2 linked regions of the Elephas maximus indicus genome follow. The protein of the gene in region 2 interacts with the protein of the main gene of each other region in a pairwise test. Links are inferred from orthologs where the notes say so. Each region holds a gene or a part of one and is shown on either strand. Other genes may lie near its edges.

What was found. The genes of interacting proteins can lie anywhere in the genome.
Region 1: the proteins of SUMO1 (region 2) and ZMYM5 interact in binary tests that used the Homo sapiens proteins (3 or more experiments, as listed by UniProt). The link is inferred for Elephas maximus indicus from reciprocal best matches to the Homo sapiens genes SUMO1 and ZMYM5.

The regions. Positions count from the first base shown.
Region 1 is NC_064841.1:49,070,948-49,074,693, forward strand, and holds the start of ZMYM5 (zinc finger MYM-type protein 5), read right to left. Parts: upstream 2,743-3,746; 5' UTR 2,645-2,742; coding exon 2,595-2,644; exon of another isoform or gene 2,038-2,594; coding exon of another isoform or gene 1,984-2,037; intron 1,860-1,983; exon of another isoform or gene 1,766-1,859; coding exon of another isoform or gene 1,746-1,765; intron 1-1,745. UniProt on the Homo sapiens protein: Functions as a transcriptional regulator.
Region 2 is NC_064824.1:101,097,615-101,101,360, forward strand, and holds the start of SUMO1 (small ubiquitin-related modifier 1), read right to left. Parts: upstream 2,720-3,746; 5' UTR 2,576-2,719; coding exon 2,564-2,575; intron 1-2,563. UniProt on the Homo sapiens protein: Ubiquitin-like protein that can be covalently attached to proteins as a monomer or a lysine-linked polymer.

The sequences.
Region 1 (3,746 bases), on a different chromosome or scaffold from region 2:
TTTCAAGTTGTCACTTTGACCCCATACAGATAGTTCTTTTAAAAGAGCATAATGCTCAAGGCAGACATATTGTTTTTACTAGTTAAGCTAAACTACTACTTCGTTTTAAGAAAATGTCAGGGATATTTCTGGTTTAAGATTTAAAGATTATCTCAGGGCAATAGTTTGAGGGAGTCAGTCAAACTTCCTGGCTCCAAGTCTGGAGACAATAAGAATTTCAAATGCTGTTCTGCATTTTCCTCCCTAGGTTTCCTCTATAAAATCTTTGACCAAAATGTTCAGTAATGGTACCTGAACACCATCTAGTTCTTCTGGTCTCATGGCAAAGGAGGCAGTTGTTCATGGAGGCAATTAGCCACACATTCCATACCCTCCTCCTATTCCTGACTCTCCTTCCTCTGCAGCTCCTTCCAGGCGGAGATCAATTCTCACGCCTTGGGTGGCCACTTGCAAGCTTTTAGGACCCCGGCACTACTCAATGAATTAGAAGGTAGAACAGAAGCACTAAACATGTTATCAGAACCATTAAGGGGTATGTCCAATGAAACCATGACCCTAAACCTGCAAACTAAGAAACCAAATTCCACGAGGTTTTTGGCTGTACATAAGCAGCTTCAGCAGCTACTCTTTTTTTTTTTTTACAGATGTACAATTTATTTGCAGCGATTACAATAATCAATGCCCGACACTTTGTACAGCGTAGAAAAAAATCCAGTGTCATGGAATTGATTACACTCATGTCGCCCCCATATATGTCAGAGTAGAACTGTGCTCTGTGGGGTTTTCAATGGCTGATTTTTCATAAATAGATCAGGAGGTCTTTCTTCCCAAGTGCCTCTGGGTGGACTCAAACATCCAGCCTTTTGGTTAGCAGCCAAGCATGTTAACTGCGTGCAGTACCCAGGGACTCTTTTTTAGTAAGTACTTAATACGATTTCCTGTCCCAGAAATATCCTCCAGTGGTCATCTCGTCATAGCCAAAACAGCAAATATCTAATAGCTTGCAATAAAAAAAATTTTTTTTTGACTATTTGACACTACTTTGGCAAGAGCTGCTATCCACCCCAAATTGCTGCATCCTCTTTCACAGTACAGAATTGTGTCCAGGAATGACTGCACTGCCAGAGAATATATTTACCAACCTCCCTGCACTTTTTTTTTTTCTGCATTTTGGAAAGCCTCTGACTGATTAGATCTGACCAACATACTAAAAAAAAAAAAAAAAAAAAACATACTAGCTGGAGGAATATCAGGGTACATAAGAGCCTTCCTCAAATATAAGGCAAACACATGAAAAAGATTCTCTTTTCCTCAACCTTAAGACAACAGAAAACTCAGGAGTTTTAAAAATCCAACAGCTAAGAAAAAAAAAATTAATTCTATCGACTGAAAAGAAAAAAATGTTAAAGGCAAAACATTTAAAAAGGAATTAACTTCAAGTCTTACTTGAGAATTCCAGCGAGTATCAGTGGTGTAAATACCAGCGTCTGCTCTCACTTTCTTCCCAGGAATTACCCTGCCTTGACTCTGGGGACAGCTGCCACCCAAGCAGTTAGCTCTTCACAGAAAGGCAAATCCCACAGGAAGAACATCCAACTATTGCACTAAGCCTACTAGAAAAGCGGGGTAAAGTGACTCACAATGAGAATGTTTTCCTTCTTAATTTCTGTAAATGTTTCACCGGATAGGGCTGAGGGTGGTTCCTGGTCTTAAAACGAGAGGAGCAATAAAAATGATTTACTTACTCCCAACCTGTACGCAGCATCAACTCTTAACCACCAGAGGGAGGAGGCAAAGTTTAAGAGGTCAAGGAGCTTGGGCGCTTTTCTACCTTCCCCCAGCTCAATTTAGTAGAGAAGCTATGTTTAAAAAAAAAGATTAAGAACCACAACTACCTGACAATGCGAAATACTTAATGGGAGGTTGGAGGAGGGGGAAGGGCAAACCCAGGAAAGGATTGTATTCCCTCCTAAATTTACCCACCCAGCAACATCCCGTCACTTCAGGATCAATTCCGAGGTAAGGAGCTGTTCCCATCTCCGCTGTACCAACACGCCCTACATGTGCCCCCCAGCAGTTGTCCTGGGCCTGAGCAGTTCGCGCCCCTACCCCGCAATCAGCAACGGATTCACGTTCGCCATTAGAAACTCGGCCAAGTAAGACGTTAGGAGCAGCAGCCGCGCAGCTCCACGAAGGAGCAGAGAGAAGGAGGGACCCGGCAGGGAGGAGGCGGCAGCCTTCGCCCCGAAAAACTTGGAGGCAGCGGGCTACGGAAAAGGCTGTGAGTGCAGCCCAGAGAGCAAAAGCGCGAACGGAGGCGCCCCTCCCCTGCCTCCCCCAGCAGGAAAGAAAGGAAAAATACCTCAGCGACTTCCCGACGGCCGCAGCCCCGGGCCAACCCCGCCCCGAGCGACCACCGCCTCACCCAGCCCTCCGGGCTCGGCCTTGCTGTCCTTCGGACCTCCCGGAGAGGCACTGGTGACATCAGTGGCTCCCGGAGGAGCCCCCGAGGCCCCAGCGCGACAGCGGCGACGGCGGCCATACCACGGGAAATTAATCCTGGGTGGGAGGGAGGCTCCGGAGACTTCCCTCACCCATATCCGCCTTTTCCTCCGGATGCTGCGCTGTTCCCAGCCACCCTCATTATCACCGGACCTGGACTGGAAGACAGTGGGGCAAGCCTCACCCGGTTGTGGCTGCGGCTCCGCGGAACGAACCTCCCCTCCCCCGACCCACCCCCCCCTTCGGTAACAAGCACAACTCCGCTGGGTCCAGTCCCGGGTTTAGCGCTGATGAGAAGCAGAACAAGAAAGAGGAGGAGAAGGAGGTGGAGGAGGAGGCGGCGGCAGCGACTGCGCAGCGCAGACCGAGGAGGCCCCGCCCCTTCCTCTCCCCCGCCCCCTCACTGGCTGGGGAGAAGACGGGCCGCGGCGCTCCCGGCACGTCAATTGGCTCGATCTGCCTTCCTTCAGGACCCCCTCGATGAGGTTGTCCAAAGGGCTGTTCATCAGACACAGGCCACACCCTCTGGCGTTTCCATTCCCCTCCCTACCTGCCGCCTCTTTGCTTCCCCGCCAGTACCCTCCCCGCGGTGCCCCACCCCCGCTAGCCATCTGGATCAGGCGGATGCTATGCCTGTGGCTCCTTGCACTGGTCGCCTGCTGGCTCTCCGGGTGTACTAGCGGGCTCCCCAAGGCAAGGACAGCCCGAGAGACGGAGGCTGGGCCACTCCTCTCTCGCCCGGGCCTGGGCACGCAGGCCGCTGTAGCGACCCCGAACGACTCTTCCCGAGGAGAGACCCAGCCTCGGTGCCCCGAACACCCTCCCGGTCCATTCCCTGGAGCCCCAGCGGGCGAGGGGCACGGTAGAGAAGGGCTGGGGCCAGACCGAGTGGGGAGCAGAGGCCGAGGGCGCGGTGGAATCCAGGGTACTGAGTGGAAGCCCTTCCACCCTCGCCTCGCCCCGTAGGACAGAGTCCCCCCCCACCACCGTGGGTGCAGCAGGAGACGACGTCCTCCATTTTGTCGGGACGCTGTGCTATTTTGGGACGAGTTCAATGCCAAGCCCCCTGGCCCCGAGAAGCCCGCCTGGGCTCCGCCATTAGGCCGGGGGAGCCGCCCCTGCCTTGAGGGTCGGCCCCTGAGGGACCGAGGAGGGCAGGCGCGACCGTGGAGGGACCCAGACGCCCCTTCCGCTTCCAGCAACTAAGATGGAGGAAGCTGCGGGCTTCCCTGGAGCTGGGCTCC
Region 2 (3,746 bases):
GAAAAAGGTGAGCAGTTCAAATCCACCAGCCACTCCTTGGAAGCCCTATAGGGCGGTTCTAGTCTGCCCTATAAGGTCACTGTGATTCGGAATCAAGTGTATCGCAACAGCTTTTTTTTTTTTTTTTTGGTTAATAAATTCCCAGGAGATGCTAATACTGCTGGTTAGAAACAAATCCTGAGAACCACTAGCAGGGCAGTGGCTTTCAAAAGTTAGTATACATAAGAATAACCCAGGAATCTCGTTAAAATGTAGATTCTGAATCAGAATATCTGGGTAGAAATGCACATTCTTGGCAAGGGGTTTGAACCGAAATAATCCAGCTCAGAAGCCCTGGGTGGGGGGGCGGGGGTTCTTTTTAATTTTATTGTGCCTTAGGTGAAAGCTTACAGCTGAAGCTAATCTCTTATTCAAAAATTTATACACACATTGTTTTGTGACACTGGTTGCAATCTCCACAATGTGACAGCACACTCCCCCTTTCCACCCCGGGTTCCCTGTGTCCATTCATTCAGTTCCTGTCCTTTCCTGCCTTCTTCTCTTGCTTTTGGACAGGAGTTGCCCATTTGGTCTCATACATTCGACTGAACTAAGAAGTACATTCGTCACGTGTGTTATTCTTTGTTTTATAAGCCTGTCTAATCTTGTCTGAAAAGTGGGCTCAAGCCCTGGTTTTTCAAAACAAAATTCATGGGAAGCTTGGCACTGTTTTTTTGCAAATCTCTTTACTTTCTGGGTTTAACAGAATGCAGCAGGATTCTCACATCTGCTTCTATATTCAATCTGTTATGATATTACAGGCCACGTAGCCTCTAGAAACTCCACGGAAAGAATGAGAATGAAAAGGGCAAAAAAAAAAAGTCCCATCATCATCATGAAAATAGTTTGGGCTTTCCAGATCCCCTGAAAAGAATCTCAAGGCCACTTTGTTAGTATTGTAGGCCCTTTGTTTCTTCCTTCATGTCTTTCTTAAATGACCTAACTTCAAACCAGGGCAAAAAATTCTACAATTTATTTTATAATTCTTTCTGTGTGTTACTCTTTCCTCAGGCTATGTAGCAAATTTCAACATGCATCCTAGTCACTTCTGAGCATCACAGTAAAAGGCTGATGAAACTAAGCATTTACACCTGTTCTTTCCTCTCTGTCAACCAAGTAAACAACTGTCTAGGGAAATACTTATAATGCCATTCCCATAGCCAACTTGGGAATTAATCTAGACCCATTCGAAACTAATTTAGATTATGGTTAATTTTTAAAAACATAAATGTAAGTTTTATGCAATAGTACAAATCCACGAAGGCCTAACTTGCTCTCACCAAGATATACAAAACTTGGTTAAAGGCCAAGGGAACGTGTGTTAAATTTAAAAGTTCAAGTAAACTGTAGAGTTGAACAAAAAACATTTTTTTATAACTGTCACTGAACAAATAAACGGTCCAAAAATACTTTAAAAAGTCATAGTCCTCTGAGCAACTAAAACAAAGACCAGACAAAAACCTTGTGAATTAAAAACTAGCCATAACCGTGGTTAACGAGATGAACGAATGGGGGAAAAAACTTAGCTGGGAAAATCGATCACTCCCGATTGGGTTCAAATCCCAAGAAAATTCCTGACAGTAACACTGGGTCGTTATGAGTCGGAAGCGACTCGACAGCATCTAACAAGACTATTGAGATGGAGCACCTCGTCATAGGGGCAGCTTTCTGCAACTGCTCTACATACACTTAGTTTTCCTATTCTTTCCTCAGAGGTATCAGTCATCTCCAGGTTAATGTCCAGATGCAGGGGGTTTCTGTTGTTCTAGTACTCTTGTTCTGCTTTGTTTCTTGGTTATTCTGAGTGCTCTGTTACAACTGGAGAGTTGCTGAACCAATCCCAAGTAAGAAATGGGAAAGTACAAGTAAAGAGGCAACAGCTCTGCACCCCCAAACGGAAAAAGGATTCAAAGAGACGCGGCGGCCCGGCTCTAGCTGTAACCCTCCGAACAGAAGACATCTTCCTAAGTTCCCAGCAGCACCAAACAACATCTTCCAGCCCGAGTTCCACCCTCCTACCCACTCTGGGACCTTCCAAAGACCGGCGTCCAAAAAGTGAAACCCATCTGCTTTTCAAGGCCACGGAGCCTCCCAGTCAGGGAATTCTCTCCCGTTACATAACCGAGGCCTAAGGCCCTGCTTCTGCAATCAGTCCTCAGGAGAGTGAGGCGGCTGGGTTCCCCAGGGACCCTCTCTGGGAGGTGGAAGCTGAGCTCTGCACCTGGCAGACCCCAAGGAAAAGGAGGGACGAAGGGAGAGAGGCGGTGACCAGAGGCGCCGAGGCTTTGGGGGCGGTGGGCGAGCTCAGAGAGGGGCGGGGCGGCTTCTGGAGGCCGGCGGCAAGCCCCGACGGTGCCGGCCCTCGCCAGCTCCCCTCCCTCGCTGTCCGGGTCCAGGCCGGCCGCCCCCTCCCCCATTCCCCGTTCCCCTCCCCCGCGCCTCCATCCCCGGCCGCAGCCAGGCGCCTGGCGGACTTGCCGGCTACGGCCCCGCCGCCGCTGTCGGACGGCTCCCGGCCCGGTACCTGGTCAGACATGGTTACGGTGGCTTCACCCCAGGGGTCTCCGCACAGCAGTGACCTCGGGCAGACAGAATCTCGCTCCGGGGTTTACAAATCCGTCTCTCTTCCCCACAGCACAACACCGCGGCTGGAGGGACTTCCGCTACGCCTTCCGTCACTTCCGCTACGCGCTGGGAGGGGAAATGGGGGGAGAAGGAATGGCGAGGCGGGAAAACGGATGGGGGAGCGGCCCGGAGATGGCAGGGCCCGGGAGCGGCCATACCGATGGAAGCGCGAGTGATTTAACCGAAATCTCGCCAGTTCATCCAAGGACCAGACCCTGCGCCTCAGTCCCGAGCCCATACACAGGGGAAAAGTCCCCGGCCGCAGTATGGGAACGACATTGACAATTCAGACTCCTACCTTACACCTTGCGCGTTTCTAAAGGCTGAGCCAAAAGCTGATAACTTCCTTTTGTCCCCTCCGGTCTTCTTCGTCGTAAATGTTTCTTAAGTGTGTTGCATTAAATACTGGTACTTCTTACCCAGGAGCTAACCCTTTTAGCTCCAGCCAAACACATAACCTTGATTAAAAAAAAAAAAAAAAGATCCTATTGGACACAACCTTGGCTACTAATGAACAAGACGCTACTGAAAGTTCTCAGTCCCTAAGGAGAGGAGGTTAATTCCGACCCTTGAATACTTTGTTTCGCGTTAAAGAGTTGTCCTTTTACAATCTCTAAAATACAATGACACTATGTAGCAAGGTGTATATAAGTTTTTGTGTGAGAGACTGACTTGATTTGTAAACCTTCACTTAAAGTACAATAAAAATTTTTAAAAATACAATGACACTACAGGCATAAGGCTAGACAAATAGAATCGAGAGTCCAGAAGTAAATCGATCAACCCTCATATTTACAATCTATTTTTTACAAAAATGCCCAGATAGTGGTGAAAGAATAGTCTTTCAGCAAATGGTGCTGGAACGATTGGATATCCACATGCTAAAGAATGAAGTTTTCTCTACCTCACATCATATAAAATATTTACTCAAAGACCTAAATTTACGAGCTAAAACTGTAAAACGCTTAGAAGACAAAACACAGGTGTAAATATCCTTTACCTTGATTAGCCAGTAGTTTCGTAAATGTGACATCAAAAATGCAAGCTACCAAAAAAATAGATAAATTGAATTTCATCAAAAT